4 linked regions of the Drosophila melanogaster genome follow. The protein of the gene in region 1 purifies or fractionates together with the protein of each later gene. This does not show direct contact. Each region holds a gene or a part of one and is shown on either strand. Other genes may lie near its edges.

The links.
Region 2: the proteins of Cyp1 (region 1) and CG42557 purify together in Drosophila melanogaster (affinity purification with mass spectrometry, with the first as the bait; one large-scale study listed by BioGRID). This does not show direct contact.
Region 3: the proteins of Cyp1 (region 1) and Df31 purify together in Drosophila melanogaster (affinity purification with mass spectrometry, with the first as the bait; one large-scale study listed by BioGRID). This does not show direct contact.
Region 4: the proteins of Cyp1 (region 1) and Fkbp12 purify together in Drosophila melanogaster (affinity purification with mass spectrometry, with the first as the bait; one large-scale study listed by BioGRID). This does not show direct contact.

The regions. Positions count from the first base shown.
Region 1 is NC_004354.4:16,315,029-16,323,414, reverse strand, and holds Cyp1 (cyclophilin 1), read left to right. Parts: upstream 1-3,044; 5' UTR 3,045-3,078; coding exon 3,079-3,336; intron 3,337-4,807; coding exon 4,808-5,233; 3' UTR 5,234-5,742; downstream 5,743-8,386. Other genes in the region: CG9917 (uncharacterized protein), read left to right, coding at 462-1,367; SWIP (strumpellin and WASH-interacting protein), read right to left, coding at 5,802-6,245, 6,306-6,511, 6,576-7,002, 7,069-7,223, 7,278-7,530, 7,593-8,386. UniProt on the Drosophila melanogaster protein: PPIases accelerate the folding of proteins. It catalyzes the cis-trans isomerization of proline imidic peptide bonds in oligopeptides.
Region 2 is NT_033777.3:29,931,396-29,938,526, forward strand, and holds CG42557 (uncharacterized protein), read left to right. Parts: upstream 1-1,891; 5' UTR 1,892-1,991; coding exon 1,992-2,184; intron 2,185-2,241; coding exon 2,242-2,510; 3' UTR 2,511-2,547; coding exon of another isoform or gene 2,548-2,694; intron 2,695-2,843; coding exon of another isoform or gene 2,844-3,065; 3' UTR 3,066-3,192; downstream 3,193-7,131. Other genes in the region: Cog7 (component of oligomeric golgi complex 7), read right to left, coding at 1-329, 388-1,071, 1,129-1,422, 1,475-1,633; CG42558 (uncharacterized protein), read left to right, coding at 2,548-2,694, 2,844-3,065; eIF2Balpha (eukaryotic translation initiation factor 2B subunit alpha), read right to left, coding at 3,210-3,356, 3,416-3,686, 3,742-3,896, 3,964-4,175, 4,238-4,339, 4,399-4,432; Vps13B (vacuolar protein sorting 13B), read left to right, coding at 4,779-6,062, 6,120-7,131.
Region 3 is NT_033779.5:21,624,464-21,633,598, forward strand, and holds Df31 (decondensation factor 31), read right to left. Parts: upstream 5,470-9,135; 5' UTR 5,230-5,469; coding exon 5,204-5,229; intron 4,514-5,203; exon of another isoform or gene 4,188-4,513; intron 4,124-4,187; exon of another isoform or gene 3,999-4,123; intron 3,747-3,998; coding exon 3,379-3,746; intron 3,295-3,378; coding exon 3,137-3,294; 3' UTR 1,846-3,136; downstream 1-1,845.
Region 4 is NT_033778.4:19,286,622-19,293,353, forward strand, and holds Fkbp12 (FK506-binding protein 12kD), read left to right. Parts: upstream 1-3,487; 5' UTR 3,488-3,567; coding exon 3,568-3,604; intron 3,605-3,764; coding exon 3,765-3,835; intron 3,836-3,896; coding exon 3,897-4,115; 3' UTR 4,116-4,341; downstream 4,342-6,732. Other genes in the region: AANATL6 (arylalkylamine N-acetyltransferase-like 6), read left to right, coding at 1,362-2,030; AANATL4 (arylalkylamine N-acetyltransferase-like 4), read left to right, coding at 2,505-3,179; mip40 (Myb-interacting protein 40), read right to left, coding at 4,673-5,476. UniProt on the Drosophila melanogaster protein: PPIases accelerate the folding of proteins. It catalyzes the cis-trans isomerization of proline imidic peptide bonds in oligopeptides.

The sequences.
Region 1 (8,386 bases):
CAAGGCCTCGACCTCCAAACTACTCTCGCCTTCAACTTGCTGACACTGGTTTTCGACTAAAAAAAAAAACAAAACACTGAAGATTAGAATAAAGACTGAATTCTACGAGAACTTGTTCATTTGAACTAGAGATAGATCGATCGTACGCTTTTATCGGCGGAAAGCCGATAGTGAGCTGTTGCATCGAAAGCGTCATCGACGAAGTGCCATCTCTAGCCGACGGGTGGGATAGAATCTCCAATTGGGATTTCCATCCAGTGATTTCCTAATTAAATTAATTTTTTCCAATTGCCCAAAGGCATAGGCATATTTCGCAAAACGAACAAATATGTTTGCTTGAAGCGCATAGAATCACAAACAAAAGTGCAAATCTCAGAGCTTAAAAACCAGAGCAAAGGAGAATAACGGAAGAGGAGGCAAGCAAAAAGACAAAGAGGAGTGCAAAAAATACAGCAAACATCATGCACAGGACATATGTAAGCCATGCGATATACGCCATTTGGCTGGTTATATTCGCCACTGCCGGCATAATGGCCCAGCTAGACCTGGATCAGATCCAGACCCAGCTGCCCGACCAGCTGAGGAAGTCAAACTTTAGCGTGAACGACGCCAAGGAGCTATTTCGCAACAAATGCATCGAGGTGGCCGGCGAGGAGGCGGGCGTCGAGGCATACGGCGAGATCGAGTCCGGATTCATGGTGCTAACCGAGTGCCTCAATGGCATTGTCAACTACACGGCAATGCAGCAGGAGATACAGGAAGCGTCGCCCAAGGGCGAACTGGATGTGGTCTTCAACAAGTACTGCAGCCGGCGTTCGAATGCCGTCGAGTGTGTGGATGCGTTCACGGCCAAACTGGTGCCCTGTCTGGTGCAGGAGGAGCGCGAGGGCCAGGATGTCATTAAGCAGATCATCCAGAGTCTGCTCAACTTTGTGTGCCACAAGGATGGCGATCAGATAGCCCTGTTCATTGCCGAAAAGGGACCCGAATGCATTGAGTCCCAGAAGGACAACATTCAGCAGTGCGTGAACAGCACGTTCTCCGAGTACCTGAACGTGTCGGATCTGCAGGACAACCGCATCAGGAGCATGCCCAAGCTGACGGTCGGTCAGAAACAGTGCGACGAGATGCTGACTCTGCAGGCGTGTGTGGTCCGTAAACTGGAGCAATGCTCGGACATAACACCGGCGAATCTCGTCGAGTCCATGTTCAACTTCATTCGGAACCAAACGATGTGCCGTGACAATCAGAAATCGCCGCTCGTTGCGGCTGCCGCCAGCGGAGGGAGTCGGGTATTCCATCAAGTGTGGACCCATGTGGGCATCTTTTTGCTAATCCTGCGATTCGCTCTACAAAAGTCTTCTTAGTTCTAAGTCTGGGCGTCCGCTATATATCTCGAATCCGAATCTGTAAAACGCCTTCTCAACGCTTTGACTTTGGCATTCCAAAGCGATTAATCAAAGAGCACGATAATCACTGTTTTTAAGCTTTTGCTTCGCTTATATTAATATGCATGTAGCCGTGGAACAGGTGTCCATAGTTCAACCGCTTTCGGGGATAAGCATGCCAAGGTGCTGCTGCTCCAGGCTAGCCAGCCATATCGTTTTTGTTTGGTGCTTCTAATTTATGTAATTAATTGCCAATTGATGTATGTATGTATGTAGTATTGTAAACAATGCTTATACTTCCTTCTAGTTTTACTTCTGAATCAGAAATTCTTCTGGCCTTTGTCATGCGTTTATCTAATGCTTTATTTCCGTTTAATGAAATGGCGTGGCTTGCGGTTCTGATTCGAGTTGGGTTTGTATTAATCTCTTTCATTTAAATTCACTGAGGGAGGCAAATGGTAATCTCACTATTTCATAGTGGATCGGGTATGGGTTTGGGAAATGAAATGCTATATATGTAAAAACAATGAATGGATATGTTTTGTAAATGAATATACGTATCATTATTGTAATAATAAAGTGATAAATGTAAAAAGAAGGACGAGTTCATTTAAACTGGGAGTTAAAGGTCAATTAGGTGGTGAAAAGTACTCAGAGTAGTTGAGACCGTGCAGCTGCATTCATTACGTTTTCAGAAATGAATCACCAACTAGTTTTCACCTTGAACGCCATTTTCAAATTTCGCGGCAGAAAAACCACAACAAAAGGCGCGAGAAAAAGCGGAAAACAAATTTGAAAACATTGTTCCGATAATTGCTGATTATTTGTGAGCAATCATTTCAAGTAATCGAAAAATAATTTTGAAACAGGCTGTCTTGTTAGGTCAATTATTTTTTATCGTGCCATTTAAACAAAAATTATTTATATTTATTTATTTATTTTCCATCGTTTCTCCAAATTACATTTAAAAGTTTGTAAGACTTAATACTGTAAAACACTATTATTAGTTATTAACTATAGTTTAAAATGGCAAAATAGAAAATGCGACACGCACAATTGAACTATCGAAACGTTAATATTTAAAACAAGTAATTTAAAATAATGAATACATGTATAAAAATAATTAATACATTTGTTTTTAAAAAGCTATAGAAATAGCTGCATATATGCTTTAACAATTTATGCTTAAAAAGTCTTTATAATAATCCTGTGATTTCGCCGTGATTTTTGGGTTTACAATGTGCTGTTTTAGAATAATGGTTATTTCAAAGTGACCACTATTTTTCAATTATCTTAATTTTTTAATAGTCTTGTGTTTATTTCAACTTTAAGTTTTATATTTTAATGGCTCTTTAAAAGCAAAAAAATATTTGATTTTTAGGAGTGATCGCTGATCACGATGCTGTAATTTTTTGTAAGATATTTACTTAACGAAGGCGAATGCGTTGTTTCGATTGGCGGTTTCAAATGAGCGCAAGTAAATGTATTTATTTATTATAAAAATTGTAAAAAGGGCGCATGAACGCGACCATTTATCCGTTTTGATGGGGGAATGGGCAGCACAAAGTGCGTTTATGGGCGCCCTAAAGTGATGTAACAATTGCTGCGACCGCAGCAGCAGCGAAACGCGCGGAATGGAACGCACGGAACGATATCGTAGTATCGTACATGCGGTCGCAAGCCATACACGATGGTCTCTTTTTGTGCAACTCTGATTCGACAGTTTCGGCACAGGTCGGCAGCGGCATTTCAGATTGCGGAGTCCGCCATTTTAGCTAACAAATCTATAACCCTAGCTTCGTCAGCGTGCAGTGTGAATAGGGGTCAGTTGCAGTTTGGAATTCAGATTGTTCGCGAATATTCGAAAGCGTCAAAGATGAGTACTTTGCCTAGGGTGTTTTTTGATATGACCGCCGACAACGAGCCCCTCGGTCGGATCGTCATGGAGGTGAGTTATTTGCCCTTTTTTTTTAATTTTAAACTTAAGTTGAGGTTTTTTTTTTTGTGACATTTGACCAGAAAGTGAAAAACACGTGATTTCCCATAAAGCCATTTCTTACGCCTAAAGCTAAGACTGTGTTTTACATTATTTGCCTCAGGTGATAAGTACATACCGTTTTTTTCTTTTTATTTTTACGGATTTAAAACTTGTACCAAATATACACACAGCGCAAACTCGCCCTCTAATTTATAAGCGACAAGTGCAATTACTTTCCATGACTAATTGCATGACAATGCGCTATGGGTAAATTTTCAATTTTCCAACCCAATTGGACAGGCGCGTTTAATCGGAAAATCTCTATAATTATCTCTACATCGCTGAATTTTGAGCAAACAGGCAAGCAGGAGCACCAACCCCCGCAAATCGGCCATTTGGTGGTATTATCTTTATAGAATGGAATTTTCCTTATTTTAATTGACGTGTCGGCAAACTTTGGCCGAAATGGTGTGCAATTTTTACCGGTATTTTATATGCATCTGTGCATGTGTGCTATATATGTACATTCCGGCGTGGTCTGCGTATGTGTGGCTCATACCCATACACACATGCAGATCAATACACGAACATAACCTCTAAGCGGTCACTCGCGTATGTCTGTATGTTCTTGTCGTGCTTGCATATGTACATGTGTGCATGCGGGTAATGTACGCGCAGATGTACAGTGTACACACAGAGATATTCGGGTGTGAATGCGCGAGTTCTGTAAACCCGTTTGCAAACATGAACTCACTATTAATTCCGCCGATGATGTAATGTACACCTAATTTTTGAATAGAGAAAAAGAATAGGAAACGCGAATGCTTGATGTATATTTTTAGTGGCCTGGGAATAAAGTCATTGCCCGCCAAGTAAACCAAGCCACATGTCTAGGATTTTCCTTCCAATAGGACATACATATGTACATACGCACACTTGAACATACATGCAGTGCGCGAAAAATTCTGCACTTCACGCCGAATTACTACACTAAACAATTGAAGATTTATAGAGAAGCGGCATTAGGAAAAGCATTTACTTGACTAATTTATACAATTGTCTCGATTACTGGGTGAATTGGAAAATTGCTCAAATTCTAGTGCATTTGCAAAGTTCTGTGCATTATATGTATTTTTTCCCTTGGTATAGATATGCACATACATATGAACATGCATATGTATATTATCAAAGGGCTAAAAATGGCGATGAAAAAAAAGCGGCGTCAAAAAACAGCTGATCATGTTTACTGCCGCTCAACATGAATTATACAGAAAATTGTCCAGTCCTCAAAAAAAAAAAGAAATAAATAAGCAAAAAGTAGTGGCAAGGTCATCCGAGTTCGGATAAACAAACCTTGAAGAACTGAAAAAGAGTCATACTTTGTTAGCATTAATTTCTTGTTTACTAACGAAATTTCTACCCTTTTGTTTGTATTTTGCAGCTGCGCTCCGATGTCGTGCCCAAGACCGCCGAGAACTTCCGCGCCTTGTGCACCGGCGAGAAGGGATTCGGGTACAAGGGCTCCATTTTCCACCGCGTCATCCCCAACTTCATGTGCCAGGGCGGCGACTTCACCAACCACAACGGCACTGGCGGCAAGTCCATCTACGGCAACAAGTTCCCCGATGAGAACTTCGAGCTGAAGCACACCGGCTCCGGCATCCTGTCGATGGCCAACGCTGGCGCCAACACGAACGGCTCCCAGTTCTTTATTTGCACTGTGAAGACCGCCTGGTTGGACAACAAGCACGTCGTCTTCGGCGAGGTCGTCGAGGGACTGGATGTGGTCAAGAAGATCGAATCTTATGGATCGCAGTCTGGCAAGACCTCCAAGAAGATCATTGTGGCTAACTCTGGTTCTCTTTAAGAAGGTGCGATGCAAAAGCAACAGCAACATTGCAAGAAGAAAAATCTGTTAAGACGAAAACCATTTGCATTTTCTCCAAAACATTTTTTTTTACCAATTACTGTACTGTAATATTACGAGAAAAATACATAACAAACCAACATATTTTCAATAGACATGTTGGGTTTCCTTTGGCCAATCAATTGTATGTGGGGGCCAAAAGTGAATAGAATTAGTGCCCACCAATGTCAGAAAGCGTTCAATTGGCTATATAATATGCATTAAATCTGTAACTTTAACATTTCCATTCACAAAAAAAAAAACAAAGAAGAAAAACAATGAGACGACAAGAGTCGAGAGGGGCTTAGAAAAATGTTTGATCTTTTGATGTTGGCTTACTTACTACTAATAATAGTATTAGTAATGCTGATTATCTAATTGCATATATATATATATATACCAACGTTCTACGCTATGTACCGGAATCGGAATTGTATTTTCGTCTTAATAAATCTGAATAAACGGCAACCAACTACTCAATTGTTTGTTGTCACTGCTGGGATCTTTGGTTTTGGTAAATGGACATATTTTATTGGAAGAATATTTCGGAGCTACTCAAGGTGGCGTACAATAGATTGTATTCATGCTCGTAGGCGTTCACATGTCGTTCGGTTATCGCCACTGTCTGGTGAAGCTTCTCGTCCAGCTGCTCCGGCGCCGTCCGCTGCTGGCCCGCCAAAATGTCGCGCACCTTGGAGCGCTCCGCGTTCAGGTGCTGCGTGATCGTCTGGCTCCAGCCCAGCTCATGGAACTCCGTCTGCTGGTTCAGCATGTTGAGGATGTAGACCAGGCCGATGGCGAAGCCATCCTCGAACAGCGAGATCTTGGTCTGGTCCTTTTTGTAGATCTTTAGCTTCTGCTTGACCCGGTAGTCAATGTAGTTCATGATGAGCGCCGGTGTGATGAGGTAGAAGGTTCGCAGGTGGTGGTTATGTGGATTGCACAAAAAGGGCTGAAAGCCTTGCAGAAGAAGCTGCAATATAAATCCATGGGTTAAGCTGGTTACCTAACTTGTTAAGATCGTAGACTGCACCTTGAAGTAATTTGTGCTATCGGAATAGCACTCCTTCATGTGACCCAGGCTCTTCTCGTACTCCCTGATGGAACCCTCCGTAGCCTCGTGCACTTTGGAGCCCCCGCAACTGAAGTTGCTGTCGAATCTGGTTTTATACGAGCGATTCCGGAAGTTGGCATTCTTGCTTCCAGCCTGCAGGAGGCGCACATAGCCAACAGCGTTGCCTAAAAGCAATATTTACGTTTATATTTTAAGCATTTTCTTGAATTATGGTCTTTAACCACCTACCGACTTGTGTGATAACCTTCCTGAAAAGATCCATATACGTCTCGCCATTGCTGGAGCAGCCTAGCCTTCTGATCTTCTTAAGAAAACTATCGGCGCGCTCATAGGGATACGACTGATAGGACTTGCTGTGCTTGTGCTCCGTGTGAAAACGCAGCTCCTTGAGCAGCCGCGACTTGATCTGCTCGTCGTGGAGGAAGGTGGAGAAGGTGTAAAACTTTTGGCGCAAAAACTGGTATATAAAGTTGACGGTGGTGTTGATGATACCGGTGCCGTGCGTCTGCACCGAGTTGGCCACGTGCCGGGTGCCAATGATGTCGAGGTGCTTGCTCCTGCTGTTCGTCTCCACGAACACCTGCAGGTTCATGTTGTAGGCATACGAGGAGGCGAAAGTGTGTATATTCCGCATGATCTGCAGCACGTCTATGCCCTTGAAAGTGGGAAAGAATTGTTTGGTTAATAGAAGAGATTGCTTATTGATGATTCAATTGGTTACCTGGTCAATTATCTGATTGGGCAGGTGGTCATCGATGGGTTGCAGCTGCAGCACCTTGTTGGCCAAATGACGCATCTTTTCATACGATTTCCAGTCGTGCGGAGCGATTGTCGTTAAGTTGTAGAACGTGGCAGTGAAATAGTTCTCAAGATGATCTAAAATATGTTAATGAATGGCATGATCTCTCAGTTTTGTAACCGATATCTTACCTTTTATAATATTGTAATCACCATCGTTTTCAACTGCAACTGCATTGATGCAGAGACGATAGTCTAAGGCACTTTGCTGGAATGGTTGATCCTGGCTCTGGAAGAGATGCGAAAGGGCCTCCACGCGCAGAAAGAACTCCAGGTGGTTGCTCAAAAACTCAATGATCAAGTCATTCGCTGATTGCTTGGGACACCTTGAACCCCTGAACATGGCCATGATCTTGTCCAGATGATGGCTCACCGACACGAGGTTCTGCCGATGATAAATGGCATAAACATGAAGTTGCTTTGCCAGAAACTGAGTAAGAAACCAACCTGCAAGGAGTAGGGATTGCGTTGGAGTTCGGTGTACTCCTTAAGCACCGAAGTGTCCAGAAACCAGTGATTATATACCAGACTCGAGGACTCCGACGTGTTAAGTTGTCCACCAATATTCCGCATAATGTCGCTGATACTATTAACACGATGTAGGATCGATTTGATCAACTTTTGATTGTCGGCGGGCAGGAGGCGATTATCTAGAAACTCCCCGAGGGCTAGATTTACGAAAGTCAAACGTTGCTTGCTCGGAAATCCCATAATGGACTTCTCGGCCAGCTTTATTGTGGCCAAAAAGTTGATCTTGCGCTGCAGCAACTTGAGGACAACTATCTTCTTTTTCGTTGTGTGCAGCAGGTGTATGACCTTTTGCTTCTGCCATTGTATCAGTGAGCTGATAAAGCGCACGAAATTGATTTGGTTTGACTCAAAGGTCTTCTGAATGACCTTCAGGTACTGCAGCAACCGAGAGACGACGATCCAATCGTTTCTGGTCATGGGCGTCATCAGAGCCACGTGCCGATTGATCAGCGCGACTGCCAGCAGGTTAACTTGATCGGCATAGGAGTGTCCATTGAGAATCAACTGCAGAAAAGTCTTGAGGTGTCCAAAGACTCCCACATCGAATACCCTTTGCATTTGGATGGACCACAGCGATAGTTGGACGCCCAATTGGCGACAGGTCCTCTGATCGCTAAGCCTAAACTTCTCCAATACTGTGCTATGAACTTTTGGGCCTTGTCCATCTTGCGATCGGGCTGAAGACTTCATCAGGGTTTTGGCATGTAGAG
Region 2 (7,131 bases), on another chromosome or scaffold:
TCGAACTGATGCAGTTGAACCTGAAAGTCGGCCAGGCATTGCAGCTGAGACATGGTGTACTGCAACAGCGACCAGTTTTCACTCTGAGCCGCATAGCTGCTGGATCCCAGGCTGAGTCCAATCTGACGTTGGATGCGCCCAAAGCTCTCCAGCTGCCGCTTGAATATGCCGTTTAGCAAGGTGATAAGTTTGCAAAGAGCCAAATCACTCGTAATAGAGGCACAACGTTCGCAGGCCTCTTTCAGCCACTCGTAGAGCTTCCGGGTACTCTCCTCTAGATGTCGCACACCATCGCTGGGAGTGGCTTGGTTGGAGGAAAGGCGATCCACCTGAGATGGAATATTTATGAATAAAATTCAAAATTCCTTAGCTATTACATGGCATTACCTGTGTGGATAGTTGGGTCTCCTCCAGGCGCGGGTACTGTTGGATAAACTTGTGGAAATACTCGAAAATCGCCTCACCGAGCAGGCGATGCAATTCCTCGGACAAGGTTATGTGCGATTGCTCAAGAAGGGAGTTTAAGTGCAGCACAAAACTGTGATTAACCTTGGCGAACAAGGCCAGCATCTCTAATCTTTCATTGGAGGTCTTCAAAAGCTGCAAAATATGGGCATCCCGTGTGGGTTGCAATGCCGGCAATAGTTCGGCAATAACCAGGAAGGGCTGCGGGGAGTTCTCGCCGAAAAGGTTGGAGCACCACTTGACCTGGCGCTGGCAGTGCTCGAGCAGCTGATCGTAGTAAAGGGTAAGAAACTGCTGCTGCTGAGGCTGGGACTCCGTGCCCTGCAACTCCAGAGTTTGCTTCCATTGCTGCTGCCAAAAATTTTTTTGCACAGCTCGGTAATACTGCTGCAGCTGTGGCAGCCGCTGAATGCTGGTGAAGATCTGAACGAAGTGCTGGGCTTGCTCCGTATTGCCTTCAGCAAAGCACTGTACCACGCTGGGGGAGGCAAGCGCCTCCAAGCGGTTTTTGAAGTCCTCCACTTGGGTCTGTCGCTCAGCGTGGCCTGGCAGCTGTTCCTGGGCGTGCAGGGACTTTTGCAGGGCTATTAGCTTATCACAGACTCCCTGTAAAGAGTTAATTAATATGGGATCTCAGTAGTGAGACTGCTTTGCTATGCACACCTTTAGATCATTGCGTTCAAATCCATCCTCTAGTTCAGCTAGTAGGTTTCCCCAGCCATCAGACTCCTGTAGCGATTCCTTGGCCACTTGGAGCTTTTGGCTTTTGGTGTTCAAGCGCTCCAAGGTGGCCATGCATTCGCCGGTTTCGCTTTGCACTGCAGCTACCTCCAATCGCATGGCACTCATCTTCTCTTGCAGCCGGTGTACATCTGCCTGCAGCGCTGCGGATTCCTTAGCGATCCTTGGCATGCTGGCCACCACTTGGCGACTTGACTCCTCCACAGCATTGTTTACCTGGAAATCGATAATGTTTACAACAGATCCATGGATGTGCAGCTCCACTTACGTTGAATATATACAGCTGCAACTTGGCCACGTAACTCCTGATGAAGGCGGAGGCAGCCTCGCTATCATCGCGACCATTCTCCTCCACAAACTTCTTGTAGTTTGCGTTTATCCATTCCGCAGGACTAAAAGTTGTCTCCGAAAGAGCCGAAACATCCATGGTGTTGATGGCGTTGATCCAAGCAGTATGACCGTGTCGCGAGCGTGAAAATACCGGGTGGGTAATTTGCGGATAATTTGTTTAAATGCGAAAACTTTTAATGCTAGTCTCTTTAAATATTATGCAGAGCAGATACATGAAAATATGTTCTTTTACGATCTTAGTTAAACAATTATTTTTTATTAAATTTGAGGAAACCTATTAAAATTAAATTATTGCGGATGTCGTGCGGATGTCGAATATGCTCGCGGGGCGTTTTGGTATTTCAGGAGGATTGCCCTAACGGGCACACTGCAAATAATACAATATTTTCGTAGGAGTTTTTTGGATTTATGTAGGTTTATTTGGTTTTTAAAACATGTCACTTGGCAATGCCGATCCCTGGCACTTGAAAAATACTATAGTTAAGCAAGGAATCTCCGGGTCCGCGAATAATAGCGAAAGTTTTGAGGACAACTTCACGCCCTTGCCCTCTGGAAACGAGAGCAACGTCCAAAAGGACGGGAAAATCGAGCCCCTTCCGGATTCCAGCGACTATTTAAAGCTACTTGGTACGGGGACACAGTTTGTCAAACGAAGAGCAGCCCACTAAATAGCATTCATTTCAGAGCGGAAGCTGGCCCGGGTGCAGAAGGGCAACAAGTTGTTGGACAACCTGCGAGACAAGCGGCAGGATTGCATGCGGGGATTGCTGTCTTCGGAGGGAGTGCCCATTTCCATTTTCGAGCAGTTCCTTGAGCTAGACGCGCCCATCGAAAGCGGTCGCCTCCATCGGCACCTGCTGCCCGTTCAGGCCGTAAACGTGGGCGAAACTTTCCACATAGTGGAGCACGACGCTCTGCAGCAGTCGGCAGAAGAAGCTCAGGAGGAGGAGTAGGAGGATAAGCCCTCGGTTGAGCATTAACAAAATCACAATGGAATCCACGTTCGGTAAAGTCTTCATGTTTCTCACGGACCTCGCTTGGAAAAGTCGTCTCACCATCCCTGTCATAGTCACAACTGCATTTCTCGTCATGGACATCCGCCTGCAGATCGAGATCAACATTCAGTCCGGGCAATTTGTGAGTGATGCAGTTGTCTTGCAAATCTAATTCGTTGATACTCGTATTTTAAAACCTGTTTACTTGATTGTTATGTTTTTTTTACGGTTATTGTTGCTTGTTATTAAAATGCATATGTGGCATTATAAATTGGTATTTTTTTTGTTTAGAATGCCAGCGATGTGGACGACGTTCAGGATGGCCTCGACGATCAGTTTAGGATGCACGATCACTGGTCGGACGACGAAAGCGGCAGTGACATCTATACAGATGAGGAGTACACAAACGACGATGGCAACAGCGAAGCGTCCCACTACAGCGTGGACATCTACGATCCCTGGGGGTCAGAAGACGAGGTAGACGCGAGCTATTCGCGAAGGATGCGGTTCTAAGACACAATATAAATTCTACATAGGTGTAAGCGAGAGTAACTAGCTTTATAGCTTATGTACATTCAGTAATGTCGAGCCCCTATTTATTCATCTCAAACAGTCATATTAAACAAAGGTATTTAAGTGCAATATCTTTATTCGCCCTTACATGTAGAGTTTGATCAACTCGTCGCTTACGGCCGAGGGTGTTAGTCTTCCGAGGTCGGTGAAGAGCAGGGTGATGTAGACGGGTGGCGTATAGTCGACCAGCGGGTGCACTTTGCTTACATCGTTTAGGTGTTTGCGGGAGTACTATAAATAAACCCACTCTTAATCGCCGTTCCTGCTTTAATGACGCAGTAAGAACCTACCTTGTACTCGTTTGGCAGATCGCGCTGATTGAGTGGATACAGACGGCTGAACTTGAAGCTTTCGGCCAGAACGTAGAAAGGTTTCTTCATCTCACGGGCGCACAGACCCATGGTGTAGGTGCCAATGCGGTTGATAATGCCACCACTCTCCACCACGGCTTCAGCCCCCACAAGCACAAAGTCCACCGATTCCATAACATAGCCGGTGGCTGAGTCCAGAATGAGCGTGCAATCGATGCCGGCCGCATGCAGATCCTTAACCATCTCTTCGCTAAGAACGGACAATGCTTACACCTGAATTCTATCGGAAACACACCCTAGCTTACCCAGAGTTTCCCGTGCCGCCCTGCGTCACATAAACGTGGAAGGACTTTTTGTTCTGCGAGGCTGTAATCAGCGCCTTGAGGACCACCCGGGATCGGGAGTGCGTCAATATACGGCAGCCATCGGTAATGAACCTTTGGGCCTGCTGGGCAATCACCTGGATTGGGTGGTACAATGAGGGGTTAGTTCATGCGCTAGCACTAGCTTTTCGTATGAGAGCCAACCTGCCGGGAATTGAGCAACTTGGTGAGGAAGATTTTTCCGCGATTCAACATAATCTGCCGGCACTCCTCCATGTGCTTGTCGTCCAGACTGAGGGTGATGAACCTGCAAAAGAGCTCTCCGGCAGAAACAATGGCTGCTATAGACAAATCCGTATTCCGCATGGCAGCCACCGCTTCCCTCATGGTTGTGTGTAGAATATGAATGGTTCCAACTGAGGAATATGTTGTAGATGATTTAAAATGGTTCAGTAAAGAGGTTTATTAGCCCACTAACATTGTTTCTTTTCCAGGATCATTAGCAGAGTCCTGATAGCCGCAATGCCGGAGGACAGATCCTTGTCCTCGTCCAGGAGCTGCAGGAAGTATTTGACCACATCTAAGGGTGAAAGCTTGTATTATCACTTCTGCGTAACTTTAGACCCATTCTTAGCTCACCAAAATCCTGGCCATTTTCCGTAATTTGCGGCATTTTTATGAAATTGTGAAAGCCTACCGCTGCACGTTAAACGTCAACAAAATAATCAGCTGTTCGAAGGCTTATTTACACTTCGCAATTCACAGGTTAATTTATCGATTGCCAATTCGCACCTTCCGATAACGATAACGATTGGCAGATTGCCGGGGCTGAAACGTAAACAATCCAAAATTCTATGGCTATGTTTGTTTTGTTAAACATATTCGGCCCAGAATTGTAGCAAAATTCACAGCATGTAAATTCAAGTTAACCGCCGGCAACGCATTAAATGAAGAGTGTCATATAAGTGAGCAGTCAACAGCGCTGGGATCGAGGCCTGAGCCTCCGGCGTCGCCACACCATGTTCAAACTGGAGTCCTACATCACTCCGATTCTGCTGAGCTACGTGGCCAAGTACGTGAAGAACTTCCGCGACGAGGATGCCCAAGTGTCGCTGTGGGAAGGCGAGGTCACCTTCCAGAATCTGGACCTGCGCCTGGAGGTGCTCGAGGAAGAGCTGAACCTCCCAGTAGAACTAGTTTCCGGCCACATTCATGAACTCAGCATCCTGGTGCCGTGGACCAAGCTTATGTCCGAGCCCGTGAAGATCGTCATCAATACCATAGAATTCGTGGCCAAGTTGCCGGATAGTGAGAGCAAGCAGCGCAGGGCCTCCTTCCAGCGGGAGCAGCGAAGGAAATCGAAGCGGGAGTCCGTGGAGCAGCCGGATCAGACGAAGAGTCCTGGACCGGCAAGCTCTTCCAGCGTGGTCAACAAAATCATCAACAACATCAACCTGCAGTGCCACAACATCATCCTGAAGTATGTGGAGGACGACATCGTGGTCTCTATGAATGTGCAGACCCTTAACTTTAGCTCCGCCGGCGAGGACTGGAAGCCCACTATGGTGGACATACACCCGGTGTCCGTCGTCATGCGCAAGTTGCTCCAGGTCTCAGATTTGACCATCTGCTTGGACAAGCGCAACACAGCTGGTAGGATAGAGGTGTGCCAGGAGCCGGTTCTCTACCGATGTACTCTGGAGTGCCGGGTTCTCCGCAAGTACAACGCCAACACGGTGTCCACAACAAGCACAACACGCATTGGAGTTTTCACGAAGTCGCTGGATATCAACGTGTCATCTCTGCAGTTCCCCATGGTGATGAGGCTGGTCAAAATGCTGCTCGAGCTTAAGCCAGCCGAGTTTGAGGATGACCCCCAGAATCCAGAAGATCAGGAGGCGGTAGCTGAGGGCAGCGAGTCGCAACAGGGGACCGAATCCGCAGGACGAAGCGTCTTTTGGTGGGCCTGGAGCCTACTGCCCAGTTTCGATACTGAGGCGCCTTCCTCGTCCTGCGACACTCCCACTGGTCACGCCTTCGATCTGGGAGTCTACGCCGAGGAGCTGAACTTCCAGCTTAAAAACTCGGAGTACTTTACCGACCAGAGCATGGGTGGCATCAAGCGAATACGATACACCCCAATATTGCGAATTAGTTTGGGCGGACTTTATTACGAGCGGACAATTCTAAAGGAGTGCGACTGGGCCAACGTCAAGGCGGGCCTTTCTAGCATGTGCATGGAGCCATTAGGTGCTTACCGTAGCGACGATCTCGTGGATCGCAACTTGGTCAATACCCAGGAAGTGAGTTGATCCTAAGACTGTTTATTGCCTTCACTCTTTACTATTTTTTATATAAAGTTTCAGCAAGAGCGATCCTTTATTGACAAGAGTCTGTTTGACGAGAACTACATGTTCGCCGAACGGTCCTGGTGCAGCTACAACTACGCGGATTACGTGGCCAGGAACACGGATGAATACATGCTGTTTCGCAGTCCTGTTTTGGCCTTCGACGTCATCGAGCACCGGGTGCCTAAGCCCAGCAGCCATCCCGTGGCGGAGAGCCAGCTCAGAGATCTGGGAGTTCGCATCCAGTATCGTCTATTGTCCGCCGGAATCACGTTCCACTTTTCGCAGTCGTTCGTCCAGGTTAAAAAGGTAATTAGTGATTTAATTCGTCCTTACGATTACCCGGGATATCGTTCAGAATCGATGAAGGATGAGGATCGCGGTGTCCCCGAGCCGGAAAACAAGAACTCTGAAATGACTATACCTGATCTGGAGTATCTGATGGGATTGGTGCCCACTTGTAACTACAAAATTGAGTTGCGTAACATTGTGGTTCAGTTGTATCCCCGCCAGCAGCAAGATGAGTCATCCGCGATCAATCAACACCAACTGACGACCACAGTCAGACAATCTTTGCTACCATATTTGCAGCTTAAGATCTCCCTAGTCGAGGGCACAATGTGTGGACCAGTGAATCCTGTTCGCCTGGTCCAACTGATTACTCATCTAGAAGAGAAGCCTCGGGACGTGGTTAATGCCTGCTACAACTGTTTTCACTTCAATGTGAAAAACTTGGCGCTTATGATTATGAATACAACTCCGGATAATGGACGTGCCAAGCTTTTGAATATTCCACGCGTTCAAGTGAACTGGAACCGCCTTTTGGCGCCTCATCTTTGGCGTCAAAACGAGGCGCCTTTAGAGACTTCGGAAATAAAATCAGAGATCATAACTTTAGAGTTCTCAAAGCGCGAGCTAATCATCGCAAAGCGCTTGGTGCCGTTAATTTCGAGTTTCAGTGGCCAAGATCTTTGTGATCTGGCCCACATTGTAGCCAATGTCAACGTCAATTCTGATGTGATCA
Region 3 (9,135 bases), on another chromosome or scaffold:
TGGTCTATTGATGTTTATTCCACACCATTACAAGATTATTCTGACATTTAGTTATTTTAGAAAAATTTTTTCTGACCTCAGATTTGACATACGATATTTTGCCGTCGGCAACAATTTTCGATTAAGACGTCACCAAAAGTTATCGCGAAGGTTGCCGTACTGTTGGTGAAACGAATAAGGCAAGTAAAACACTTGTATAATATATAAAAGAATTCATTAATAAATTTAAAGGAGGGACAAACGTGCTGATCGTAAATAATGCTATTTAATTTAATTACATAAATGGACAATGTCCAGTAAAAAAGTAATTGCGAACAACGGAATTAAAACTGTAAGGAAGGTGGCTGCTCTATTGTTTGGAAAACAGTTAAATAGCTGTTTTCTGTTTACAAAACATTCCAATAGCAAACATTTTGCAAAAACCAGAGCAGACTTAAAAACGAAATCAAAAGATTTGGCCACGATTTGCTACGATTAACGCAGCATTACTGATAGAAATTAACAAAACAAGCAGTGAAATAAAAAGACCCCAAAAAAATGTCGAAACTGTGGGCATGACAATATGCTCTGCGAAGGAAAATAAATTGAACATAAAAACAACAGAGAATGCTATAGTCTAGAAATTGGCAAGACAAACCAAACTTGCGCTGCGTCTGTGTCTCTAGAATCTGTATGCTTAATCTCAACGCAGCTTTTATAGTTCCTGAAATCTCGACGTTCATACGGCCGACAAAATATCTTATAAAATACATGCTTAATAATATGAGTACGTAAATATTTTCTTACCTGCGTTGCAAACTTATGAATAAAATCAATCATGTTTAAAAAGATTTCCACTCCTACAAGCCGACAAAAAATCGCGCGCCCACACCTTTGATAAAGATTTTTGGCATTTATTTTTTTTGGCTAGACTATTGATTCTGACAAAAAATAAAAAAAAAAACGTTACCTGATAAAATCTTTTCAAATAATCTTGTCTACGGATAAAGGGTAAAATAGGGTAAAGACTAGTATAAATTGGTATCCAGAAGGATTGGAAGATGGAACACTTCCCAGAGATTTATCGAAATTAATTTTGCAGAAACAACTGGGAAACAACTGTCAAATACTTGGGTATCTATCACGTTAGACAATAGGCTAAAATTCAAAGATCACATAAGTGACACAATCGAACAACTTAAAGCCATTATCTGCTCGCTTTATCCATTTATAAACATAAATTCCAGATAAAACATTGAAAACAAAATGTTCTGTTCAGGTCAATCTTCCAAGCACTATCTTTTTACGGTGCTCCAGTATGGTCAGAAATGGCCAAATGTCACATTAACCTGCTACAAATCAGACAAAACAAAATATTAAAACTAATCTTTAATCACCCTTGGCATCACTCAACAGCTCATTTACATAACCGAGCCAATATTGAAGTGGTTTATAATAGATTAATAAGATTGTCCCAAAATTTCTCTATTAAATGTCAAGAGGCTGTGCACCAGCATATAAATGATTTGACCTATCCACCTTAATTGTAATTTTTAGATAATAGCCTTTTTTAAGTGCTTAGATTTTTTTTCAATTACATAAAATTTTTTTCCCAATCGGTATAATATTTTCATTATCATATTATTCATATTGATATTAATATCTAAGTAGATAAGGTTTAATTATTGGCCTGTACTCTTATTATTGTTAAGGTTAAAATAAAAAAAAATTGGATGTCATTAAGCGTGAAATAAATGAAATGAAATAAAATTTTGCGGAGTTTATTCTTCATGTAATTTTAGCTAAAGTGTGAACTGTAGATTTGCCGTGTTTGTTTTACAGGCTTCTTAATTGACGTAAATATATGGGATATAATGTCATGAGTCAAGAGATTATCAAATATTAAATTTTCTGATTAAAATTAAACGAAAGTCCAAAAATACAAAAAAAAAAACAACTTACCGTAGGCAAAATAGTAATACTATTTGTAACGTTCTGTGTCGAAATCATATTACCTAAAATAGTTTACTTTCCACTAATATGTACTTGGACCGCACCCTACCAAGAAAATAATAATTTCTACTATTGGCGACAGCTGTTATTTGTGCGAATACAAACATGCTCAAATTAATAAAAGTTACGCTTACAGTTTGATTTTAATTTTTACGTTTCATTTTATTTTTTAATAATCTCGAATCTTGATTTTGCTGAATGCTGGATTTACTGGCCATTACCTTTCCTGCCCATTAAATCGTTGTTAAACATTGAACATTAATGAGAGTTTCGTCGCAGACTATTTCGTAGGCTTAGACAAGTAAATAAAATGTAATTGGGAATGTGAAATAGGTGGTACCTTGATTACAAATAAAAAAGGTACGATTTCGAAAGCATTTTAAAAATAAACATTTCAGAGTATTGCTGTAAAAGTTGTTTTTCGTACTTTTTATTGTTTCTATGTGGTAGTATTTTTTTAGCCGGTTGGCATACATTTTTCTGGGGTTGTTGCTGGCAGCTTTTTGTTACATTTTACTGAATTTTTAGTTTTACTTTGTTCGATATAAATATTCATACTCAAAAATAAGATACGGTTGTAAAATTAAAAATTGTAAAGGATTACATATGTTATTTTGCCGTAATTGTTTTGATGTTTTTCTTACTTAAAGATTTTGTTTGCAATTTGTTTCATTCGCTTCGTATTTTTTTTTACAATTATTAAATTTGACGCTTTTGTTTACAACTTTTATTCTTAAAACATAGAGGGTCTCGCATCTTAATTTCGCTTAATATTGTTCTCTTAATCCTTCGCTTTATATATATATATACTTTGCTTTAAAGTTAAGATTTTAAGTAAGTTTTTAAATAATAATGGATTTTTTGTTTTCGTTTGTTGCCGGTATTGTTGGTTGGTAGGTTGTTTGTTAGTAGAGAGAGAGAGAACCGGTACGCTATAAAACTACGCTCCCATTGCCGGATTGTTATTGGAGAATTGCGCCCGCCACCCAAGCAGCCACCCACGTATCACCCGCTCACAAGAGCGGAAAATGGATACAGTCCGGGTTCCTGGCGGTAGAACCGTAATTTCTGTGATTTGCTTTTTTTGTGTTAGTAAGTATTTAATAAGTAGATTACTGAGTTTGCTGCTCCGCGGGCGATTCCCTTAGGCGGCCACTTCGCTAGCCTCGGCCCCATTCTGAACCTCATCCTTTGTGCTGGCCTCATCAAGCTTAGCCTTTTTCTCCGGCGTGGCGACGGCCTCATCTGCCTTGGCTGCAGCCTCATCCACCTTCCGCTTTACAGCCTCAATGGCGGGAGCATCTGTAAGGCGATAATAAAAATTGAACAATAAGAACATGAACGTGGAAAATTTGTTTGGCATTGATATCATTGATATCATCATACCTGTTGAGTCACCGTTGGTGACCTCCTCGGAGCCATTCTCGACAGCAGGTAGAACAGCTTCGCTGCTCTCTTTTTTGGTGTCCTCCCCATCGGCAGCGGAATCCTCTTTTTTATCCTCGTCCTTCTTCTCATCCTTATCGGCGGCAAAAGAAACAGTGGGCTCAGACGCCTTTTCACCATCGACTGCGTCGGTGGGCTCGGTCGCGCTGCTGTCGGCGGCTCCGTTCTCCTTGGCTACGCTCTCCTCTTCGGCGCCACCGTTTTCTGTGATGCTCGCCTTCTCAGCTGCTACCTCCTCGGCGGCAACTGCATCTTTCTTCACAGCATCAACTTCCTCAGCTGCGACCTTCTCGACAACAGGGGTCTCACTGTGGGTGATAATCAGAGACGAAAGTCAGTATGCACTTATAATTTTTTCCGAAGGTGGCCGAACTGAACTTCGTATGCATAGCATTCTACTACATACAAAACTCTAAACAGTAAATCAATTAAAAATTATCAAAAACTAAAACTATTAATTATTAATTAATTAAATATTAATTGAATTTAAAAAAAAAAAAGAAAAATTTCAATATAGCGCCGGTAGGTAACGTTTATGTTTTCATCCTCCACTTTCTATTCATAAGAGCCCCAGGACGTTCGGAATTAAAACTAAAAAAAAAGTGCATTGTTACATCTGCCGGCGTTTTTCAAAAATGGGATCAACAACTCGTGCAAGCTGCGACGCAAAAGGAAGCGCGAAAAGGTGAGTGCGATTAGGCGGCACGCTCTTTTTCATATAAATGGCATATATTCATTTGTTATTTCAGTGCTCTCTACCAACAGATGAGAACAGGGTAGAACCAAAAACACGCTTGCAGACGTGCAAAATGAAAAGCGAGACCCGTTTAAACTAAAACGAACAAAGATAGAAATAAAAACCAGTTTTAATGGGATTAATGACAATATAGTCGTTTCTCTCGCACTCATCTACCAACAGATACTCGCCATCTGAGGTAGATAGAATTCTATAGGGCGAACAAAAAGAGAGTTGCAAAGTAGCAACGCTAAACGACAAAAATAACGGTCCAAACGATACAAACAGTAGCATAACGTCATACAACCTGCGTCTTTCAAAGAAAACCGGAACAGCCTTAGGCATGAGTTTTGTTTTGTTATGTATTATAAGCTGCAACATATAATAACTACTTAAAAAAAATATATACATAAGTGTTCATCGATAGGGAAAGAGGGAGTATTTTTGGTAATGCCAATATAGATATGCGTGAAAATTTATACTGTTAATTTCAAGCTTCGAGCTTTAAGCTATCAAATGGGTATAAAAGGCAAGCCTCGAAATTTGATGTCTGGTGAGAAACGCAGCAAAGCAACATACGAGGTAGCACAGACAGATGAAATGAAACAGCACAAGAAAAGAGCGGCAACTTGAATGCTGCACACGCATACACACACACATGTCTATAGACTTTTGCGCATTTGGCCTGTCGTCCGCATACACTCAACGCATTACTCCGCCGCTACACACACACACACAAATAATTCATCGTTGCTGTTTGCCGGCCGGAGAAAGAGCGAGAAGGCACCATGACGCCGCGCCAAATTAAACGGCGTCGGTTTTTGCGCGCACACCGTTTTGCCTTTGGCGGGAACGAGACAACTACATTAGTGCCAACAAGCGGTTTGCGTATATAGACACAGAATTCAAAAGAAAATTTCCAAATCTTTTCGGCAAATAACATAGATTTTCATTAGCAAAATTCGCTACAAGTCCATTGCTTAAACAAAATCCACAAACGTCCGAAAACAAGGCAAGCAAAGTACTCACTTCTTTTGCTCAGCCACATCAGCCATTTTGAATTACTGTTAGATATTACTTTTCAAACGCGAAGCGAGAAAACACGTTGTAACTGAGGGTTTTTGGATCACCAAGCACGCCTTAAATATCAGCACAAAGATTTTAAAAGAACGAAATTTTATCAATATAGTTTCCTCTTTAGTAGCTTTGCTAAGAAAGTAGCTTGGTTGCTGGAGATTTTGCCGTACAATTAAGAACGTCCACACAGTCACAAAGAAAAACGCCGAATGAGAGAGCGGTGAGCGTCGGACCGGCTTTTAAAGCGCCGCCCTGTAGTGTTGGTAGACGTCGGTAGTCCGCTTGCGATAGTTCCGCCTCCGGAAAACATATCTTTGTTTGTTATCGTTATCACCCGTTCTCTATTTAATTCGGAGTTAGCTTATGCTGATAGATTTTTACAATTTTATTTTAATATATTAAAGAGATGAAATATAGCAGTGACAAATATTTCAAAATAACGGTCCCCTAAAAAGGGCTGCCACCTTTTAACTATTATTTAGCGGCTACACAAATATAGCAGGTAAAATATTCAAATGCATTCCTATCCTTGTTTTTCTCATTGACCTGAGTGATTTTTCGTGTAATACACCTTCCCAATTCTAAGTTTTTTTTTTGATCCGGTACTCCTAAAAATTAAATAAACAAACACACAAACATGTATGTTCATATATATATATATACACATATCGTCATTTTTAAAAAATTCAAGCTTTTTATTAAATTACATCAATCAATTTCCTTGTAAATTACACAGTCTACAAGATCTTAAAAATAATATCTTAAAGATATGTCATATGTATGTAATCAAACACATAAAACCGACGGAAATAATCCTCACCCCTCTGAAAACATTTTCAGGTAGTCAGATATGCACGCATAAGTACGTACATACATACATATGTATAGTGGCCTTGTCTGCGTCCCTTGATCGGTATAATAGAAAAAAGAATTAGAGTGCGCTACCAGGCAGCTGGTAAATTTTCTGCTTCACTAAAATTTTACAATATTTTAGGCTATTGGCAAGGAAAACAATACACTAGGACTGAGATTCCATTGCCGAAGAACATAGACGCTATTATACATACATATAATTACAAGTTTTCAATTTTCATAAGTCAACATTTAATTTTAGGTCTCATGCTAAACTCCACTTATTGATCTATATTGATTGACGATCAATCCTCGGTCTCGAGCTTTTTTAATATGGACTTTGGGCTGTAAAATTTTAATGGGCTTTTGCAAAGACACTAGAATAATCTAGTGTCTTTGGCTTTTGGAGTGAAGTGCATTCGCTCTTGGATACAAGCGCTATTAGATTTTTAAGATTTTATTTATTGAAATTCAAACTTTTGCTTTCGAGCTTGTGAGTGTCGGCTTGGAACGTGAAAACATGCTGATTTAATAAAATTGGACAACGGATGTTTGCTTTACAGGTGGGTGATTTGTTTCGGGTTTTCGATTTCATCGTCTGTAAAATTTTGGGTTTATTCCATTTAGCCTTGCTTTGGGGTTGTTTCTTGTTTCTAAAATATAATTATAGGAACGAGGCATTCGTTTGTATTGAAAAGTCTTTACTTCATATAGAACCAAACATGGTTTAAAGATTGCCGTCAAGGAAAGTATGACTTCCGAAATCCGAAGGGCATCTCCCAAAATTTCGAGAATTAGCTTTTGAAACTTTCGACACGATATTCTAAGGCGATATATCGACCAATAATTAAAGAAAACAGATTTTTCCGCGACGCAGGAAATTGGGCACTACTGGTCTAAGGTTAATATTCTCAACCATTTTGAAATCCCCTTGAACGCACAAAAAAGATTGAATTCAAATCAGTTATGCTCTAATGTCTAAGTTCGCAGCAAAGAATTATATACGTAGATAAGCACGTACATATCAATGAAGATACCTATATTCTTGAACAGAACAAAATTATATTTTCATCACAAAAGATGATTTCAGAGCAGTAAAGGTGTCATCGTTACTAGTTTTTTTACATCGTTGAGGCGGGCTTTGATTTGAAATCAGTAGATTTTTTTAAGGAAAAAAATCAACGGATCTATTTACTAAATTCATAATTTGTGGTATTTAAAAAATAACATTTAGAAAAATAGACTTGGAAATGCCTTTTTTTTATTCTGAATAAAATTCTTTGGTCCCCAAATTACTTACTAATGTATAAAAAGTATAACGTAAATATCTCTTACTCATGTTTGTATACTATGTTTAGTGGACATCAATAAATGCAACAGAACTCTACTATGAAAAATTAACCAATTTTTTTCTGAAGCGTTATTTACATTCTGTAAGGCATTTAATCAGTGTGGCTTGCATTATGAGTAAGTGAGTGGCAAAAGCAAAAAAAATGTTCAACCCAAAATTCGATAAAAATATAAATTGCCATACATAAGCATTTTTAAAGCCGCGAAACCGGCCACGTCCACACTTTTGAACAATTTTTAAATTTTGTCGAATTTTTTCCTAATAAATTTCTCCGTTCTGAAGTTATTAATTTTGGCCAGAAAAAGTGGTTAGGTTTCCCATAGTGCAGTCCACCCCGACACACTCACACAGGCGCTGTCAAATAGCAGCTGCACTCATTTTAAGGTCAGCTGCATTCATGACGTTTTCTTCATCGGTCAGTGGTTGCCTATTGGCGGGAGACCTTAATGAGATTTAATTAACTTTATGCTCTTCCGGTAATATTCTGAATACGCTATTGTGCAAAGGGACTCTTATCAGGATAGCCCAGCTGTACCGTTATCAGTGCATTGCTTCGATCGCATGCGCAAAAACGAGCTTTCAGCCGAAAAAGCTTGCTCTCGTTCGACCTCTGAGCGTTTAAACATGAAATAACGGAGGTCCTTGCTGGTGAGGCTGAAATCGACAATCAGTCAAGTTTATCGGGGCGGCTTAGTTTAGTCGAAGGATATTGCTCGGTGTCTTGCGTGCAAACTTGCTAGCAGAAAAAATTTAACACATCGAAAAAGCAAATAACCAGCATAGCAAACGTATGTTAAGGAAGTAATCAAGGCGGACGGTTATCAATAACTTCCAAATATCTTGGACTTATATGCTGGAGCTGTTAGTTACTGGGATACAAATTTAAAGCAAACGAGGGTTTGTTGCAATAGGCAGAGGGTACACACGCTCGCGAGCTGTTATACAAATGAAATCAAATAGAGCATTTAAACAAGCCTTGAGAAACTGAGCCTAACTCACACAAAGAGGAGAAACACATGTACGCGCATACCTAGACAAGAAAGTGATTTTCCACAAGAAAAGGGACGAGAGGTGTGTGTTACTTAGTTTGTCAGTCGAATATTTCTCAATGGGGAAATGAAGAGGTAGTCATATGAAGAGAAAGAGGCAGCGGTGGGGTAGAGAGCAGCGAGAGAGCGGACGAAATTTTCTGATTACAGTTACCGTGGTCTACTATGGTGTCGAATGCTGCAAAAAAGGATCACGAGTTTTAACAGAACAATTTCAATATGATAACCAACTTATCTGTAGTGGTTAGGCAACATTTGATATTTATAATGTTTTTGTTTTTTATGTTGTCATTGAACAGTTCCATTACGGCAATAAATGTGCGGTACAGCCATATGCAGGTAAGCACACACTTTCGTGCTCTAACAGTTGTACATATGAGAATATTCACCGCTCTCTCTCTCTCAAGGACGCTTCCGCAGTGCATTTAATTTGAGTGGACGGAGGATGCACCGATAAGTGTCAAGATTACTTGCTTATACTTTGTCCCTGTATTTCGATTTTGCCTTGCAGTGCTTCGATTCAGACAAGTGAACTATTTTATGTTCTTGTCACATTACAAACAAATAAACCAAGGACATGGTGTCGCTTTATTACTAAACCACAAATACGAAATAAGCTCTCCGAACAACGA
Region 4 (6,732 bases), on another chromosome or scaffold:
TTTGTCCGGAAAAGTATTTATAACTCCTGTCACAAATCATCAGAATATATCAGAAGCAATTCACTGTAATCCGTTTTTTTTTTACCTACCAAAGTAGTAATGCCACCAAAAGGATGCATGCGAGTCCCGCAAATAACTTCTTCATAGCTTTATTTTTGATACTGGGAGTCACCGGAGAATCGTCTCTTTTTATATGTGACGAAGTCAATGGAGGCACGCATTATAAAACTATATTTTGTTCGCATAAATTTGCACTGAGAGAAATAGATATATCGAATTATAATATGCAAGCAATATTATAATTCTTATTTTGTAACAGCGATGATTTTGATAACAGTTTATAATAATATATAATTTATAATAATAAAAATGTTTCGTTAAGTAACTACTTTATTTGCACTCTAAAAAATATATCAGCCTGTTAACAAATATGGTAAAAGCTAACAAAAAACAGTTCATAATAATATTCATTGACCAAGTAATTTGATTCTGTATTCACGTGAGTTTCGAATCTATCAACATACTACACATATGCAAATGACCTACACTGGAAATAAAAAAAATTTACATTTTACTATAGATTTCTTACTGATGTATGATAATGGAATAACCTTTAAAGCAATTCTGTATTTAATATGTTAATTTATATGTTAATTGAATGCGAATGCTAATAAAATAAGAAAAGTTATGCTCGAAAAATGTTATCATTATCAAATTGGCAAACCAATTTTAGGCATTATTAAAACCACGTGCCAGTTATGCTGATATTCTCTTTTGTTTGACAGGTTATTATGAAGATGTTTGAAAATTTCTCAAATATATCCAAACGTATCGAGTTCTGGACAGGGAAACACAGTATCGCTGCTGCCAATAGTTAACAACATCTGGCCATTTGCAGAAGCAAACGTGCTCGCTCCATCTGAAATTATGCGGAATTGGACAGACGAGGAGATTTTCTGGATGGACAATGGATCAGAAGAACGCGCCATCCTGTCATCCGGACAGGCACGAATCGAATCCGAAAGCACGTAAGATTCTTCATGAATACTGCATTTTGCTGATGCAGAAGAATTGTGATTACCTCTTGCTTTAATTTTTTCCTCTTCCTCTTAAAGAAACTGTATCTTATTGTAGATTAGACCTATCGGTAGATTAAAAGATTAATACCAACATGTTCATTTTTTTGGAAATGCAACGTATTATCTTATTTGAGCACCACCTTGAATATAGCAAACAATGGAAGTTCTTGAACTTGTATTTGTAGATAACTCAGTTCGGTTTCTTTAAAAGGCTCCTGCAGTCATGTAGAATGAACCATAGTATACCAAGCCGGGAAACCAAACATCGCTGCTCAGTCCAACATGATTCTTAGTCAAAATGATGGCATAACCGTACGAGTTATGAAGGAGGACGACTATCCAAGAGTGAAAACCTTCATGACGGACTACTTTCACTACGACGAGCCCATGGGAATGGGTCTCGAGGAGCCCATTCACCTGCAGCATGAGGAGGAAGTGGATAGGCAATACCTGGCGGTGATCAGGCAGGGACTATCCATAGTGGCACTGGACGATAACAACGGGGGACTACTGGTTGGCATTGCCGTGGCGGAGACGATGGATCCCATCGAAATGGCCAAGCAGCACAAGGAAGCCGAGGAAATGGAGCCAAATGCTTTGGGTCGCAGCAGGAAATTTATAGCCAAAGTGGAGCGCGAAGCCAACATTTTCGAACGCTTCGGAGTCTCCTCCTACCTGAGTCTGCTGGTCATCTCCGTTCACCCCTCAATGAGGCAAAGAGGTATCTTGGTCATACTTTCCAAATGTCTCTTTAAATTGGGTCGCCTGCGGGGACACACTCTGTTCATCACCAGCGGAACCAATCACTACTCCTCCCGGTCGGCGATGAAAGCGGGATGTGAGTGCATCCATTCGGTGGCCTATGCTGACTACAAGGACGAGTTGGGTCGGCCGATATATAATCCACCAGCGCCCCATACCCACATTCGGGTCTTGGCCTCAAAAATGTAAAAATTAAAATAATTTATTAATTAATTATTACTTTGGCCTTGGCAATTGATAAAGGTCGTCGAGCTGGAAACGCAAGTCCATATGGATCAAATAAAGTAATAAAATGTAGAACGGTCTACTTTATTGTTCAGATATTGTGTTGATTATGTATTTATCGACACATGACCTTGCAATAATTACAAAATCTGATATTAAGTAATCACTTTCCACTCGATGTATTTATCCTCAAAGATTTTGGGTCAGAAAACCATATTCGAAAAATGTTTATTACTAAAAGGATAAGTCAGTCTGGCACTTCATTAAAAATAAAACCAAAAGCCGTTGGAAACAACTTTCTCTTCGCCAAACAGAAACAATCTATAAATATGATAAGCCATTATCAGTGATAAGCGCCGAAGTATAAAAGCCATGTACACATCGGCGTCCTCTTCTGTCTTAAGAAAAGCATATAGAACGAATTAGCTCCGGATCGCGATGACTCCCACGACAATAGATGGCGTCACGATACGCATCATGCGCCCAGAGGATTATGCACAGGTAAAAGCCTATATGGAGGCTGAGTACTACACATCGGAGCCTCTGTGCCAGTCCAGCGGCGAACCCGTTCACCAGCAGAACGAGGAGATCAACGACGCCTTCAACCAGTCGATAATCGCCGAGGGCACCAGCCTTTTGGCACTGGATGAAAACGATGGTGGCCGGATTGTGGGTCTAGTTCTGGCATGTGCCAGTTATCCCGATAATGTGAATGCAGGAACATTGAATTTGAAGCTCGAGAATGTGGAGGATAACGCTTGGGGTCGAATGTATCATTTACTAATGAAGGCCAAGCGCGAAGTCAATCTGTTTGAGCGCTACGACATCCCGAAGGCGCTCTACTCCCACGTGACCAGCGTGGCCTCGTGGAAGAGGGGCAAGGGCCTGGGCTCCCGCCTGGCCGCCACCCTGATGGAGCTGGGCCGATCGAATGGTTTCCCCCTTATGATGGCCTTCTGCACTAGCTTCTACTCCGCTCGCCAGAAGGGGGCCTTGGGCATGGAGTGCATCTATTCCATCGACTACGCCGACTATAAGGACGATGAAGGACGAGTGATCTTCACACCGGCAGCCCCACACACAAAGCTGCGAGTGATGGCAATCAAACTGTGACAGTTGATAACAAATAACTGAGTCGAGGAATTTAAATAAATTATATAACTATAGTTATGTTTATTTAATACTTAGCACACTTTTGGGGGACCTATACAAGTTGACCAATGACCAATGTGTCTCGGACTTTAAGATAAGAGGCAAGATCTTGCACTGCTTTATTCTTTCGGTTCATAGTAAACAATTCAAACGGACGCGCCAAAATACAAAAACGTCCTTATCGATAACTCGGAAAGCAATTGGTTTTGATAATTAATCAAATTGATGTGTGCGATAGTTTCCGCTCACCGACCATCGCCCACCGCTAGCTGTCATTCGGCGACGCGACGAACTGAAATCAACGTGCTTATTTTCCGCTCGGTAATTTGCCAGAAAAAAACTAATCGAAATGGGCGTACAAGTAGTTCCAATTGCTCCTGGTGATGGTGAGTATCCAATGATTGGGTTAGAATCCGCAAGAAATGCCGTAAACTACCGGCCTTTCTAACCTATTTAGTGCATTTTCGCAATGCACAATTCGGAAATACCTGCGACAATATGGTCGTCCCGCTCACACACATCCATTTTTGCATTCCCCGCCCGCAGGCAGCACCTATCCCAAGAATGGCCAAAAGGTCACGGTCCACTACACCGGCACCCTGGACGATGGCACCAAGGTGAGTACGAATCCCGATCCTCGCCATCCCCAGCTAATGATCCGCCTTGAATTCCACGCAGTTCGATTCGTCGCGCGACCGCAACAAGCCATTCAAGTTCACCATCGGCAAGGGCGAGGTCATCCGTGGCTGGGATGAGGGAGTTGCCCAGTTGAGCGTCGGCCAGCGCGCCAAGCTGATTTGCTCGCCGGACTATGCCTACGGTAGCCGTGGCCACCCCGGCGTCATTCCGCCCAACTCCACCCTCACCTTCGACGTCGAGCTGCTCAAGGTCGAATAGGCGCACAGGATGCCCAATGTGTATACCCCAAACCAAATCGCAGGGGGTTGCGGACCGGCGCACCGGCGACGAGCCGAAGAACATCATAATCGGAACCAGAACAATCCAGCAGCATTTGCCAACCCAAAATAATAATGATAACTTCATACACAGCTCTAAACTAGAACTAATTTAACCGCAAAGGGAACGCATCTTCTACCAATACAAATAAACATTTATTCAAGTCAATGACAAATGTCTTTCTTATCAAAAATCTTGGGATAATCCAATCAAATCAGCTGCGGTTGCCTTTCCGTGCTGCAATACAAATGCATTTCATATTATTTTTTAATCAGGAAAATATGCAAATATAAAAACGCTTTATCATTCTCTTGATAGACTTGAAGTGGTCTACTTGACAAATTTGATTTTATTTTATATAAGTATATAAAGTGTACAAGCATCTTATTTGCATATATATTCGATTTGGAAACAGGATTTTTTTTAATTCTTTGTGCACAATTAATCCAAATTATTTTTCATTTTCTATACCACTTCCAAAATCACCTAGATACGCTTCAGTTTTTGCAGACCAAGCTCATAATCTTGTCAATAACTTCATATCGCTCCTTTTCATACTTCTTGATATGCTTTATCCAGTGTCCGCGCACTTTCTTCCAGCGGTTCATATTGGAGGACAGAAGATCGGAGGTACTGGCACCTTGGAGAGCCTTTTCCCGCTTCTTGTCCTCCTGGCTGAACTCCAGACGAGGCGGAATTATGGGCAGATCCGTGGACTTGGCCTGCGGGAGCTGGTTGATCACCTTTATCTCGCCGCTTTTAATTTGGGACAGGATTTCTTCGCCGTTGTCCTCACGTTTGGTGGCCGTGAGTGAAGCATCTGTTTGAAATGCACCCACAGCTGGATTCTTGGGTTGATTTGCCATCCATGCGCGGCATATGGGGTACAAAGGAGTCTTATCCTGGTATTTGGACAGGTCCAAACTTCGCTCAAACAGGCGCATTACGTAGGTCTCGCCGGGCGCCTTCTGGGCGACTGCCGCTGCTCCAACGCTCTTCTTGTAGAGCACTCTCCTGGCCTTGATGCGTCCTCCGGCGCCGGCTGCGGCTGCACTCGAGGATGTCGAAGGCTTCTCGCTAGAGCCCGACGTGACCGTCTTGACTTTCGGATCTAGCTTTACCTGGTACTGACGCTGCTGTTGCTGCTGGATGAGCAGCTTCTTCGAGGGACGGCCCCGAATGGGCAAATCCGACTCTGCGTCGTCGTCCGGCGGCAGGTTTGTCGTCTCTGGTTTCTGCTCCTCACGGCGCGACTCCCGCAAGCGCAGGGCCGTTTCCTTCTTTTTCGGCACAGTCTTCATTTCCAGAAATCTTGTATTCGACACGAAAATTAAGGGAAAACAATTTCGAATGCCGAATCGGAAATCAAACGGACTTACGGCGCTTCACAACACTGAAACACCACTTCGCCACGCAACACTACATAAGTCAGTGGTATTTCAAAAAATACCATAAATTAAAGAAAACAAACGGTCTTGGCGCCTAACGCTAGCTTGAGAAATAATTCTTTGAATTATTTGTAGCTTAAATGAAAAGAAAAAAGAATAACATATATATTTTTAAACAAAAACTTAATACACATTAATATTTGACTATTCAAAAATATTTAATAGACTTTGATTGTTAAATTAATACTTTTGTAGATTAAAAAAAAAAAAACAAGGAAATGAAAGTCTTAAAAATTTGGTATTTCTCGATTTGGTAATTTTAACCCAAAACCTTTCGGGCTTTTCAACCCACCTTTTATGGTCACACTGCTGTTTTGTGATCGCGAAAAGAGCGACGTGAAAAATACATTTAATTAAGTTTACTGCGAAAAATAAAATAAATAACTAAATTAAAACAAAGCGGAGCTTTTGCGTGAACTGTGTGTGTAGTTGTGAGTGTGTGAGAAAAGAAAAACGAAAACAAAGCCAACGAGGAAATCGAAGGGGCAAAAGTGGAAAAGATTCAGATTGAAAAGCACCAAAATATCGAAATCACAATTTGAATGTCAAAGAACAAACGACAAAAAGAGCGGAGCAACAAAGGAACATTGGAAAAGTCAAGAATTTAACTTATTCGGTAAGGATGCAAATTGTAAATCTGTGGATTTTGCTTCTTCTGCTCACGCACACATCCACATACAATTGGGAAGTGCACAGGTGTGGGTGGATCTGCTCTGTGTGCAAATAACAAATTGTGAAAAACAACTCGCACACATGCAGATCACCTAGTGCACCAAATAAAAGCAATAAATAAACACATTTCCAAACGGGCAACAAGTTGTGAATGCGTTTTTTAAGGGGGAGGGGCCATACCAAGTTTCCCAACGTTTCACATTTTCAATCGATCTCGGTTGTTTTTATATATGTATGGATATTTTTTATCTACTATTGCGTAGCTGCCAATGTCACCTGTTTTTTGCTCTCTCTCTCTCTCTCTCTTGCGCTCTCTCCCTCCCTCTCGCTCGCACCCACGCTGGCTGTAGCTGGTTTTTATCTTGTGCCGTTAACACAGCCATTACGTGTCTCTTTCGCACTCGCACTGCACATTGGTGTTCGTGTGTCTGTGCAAG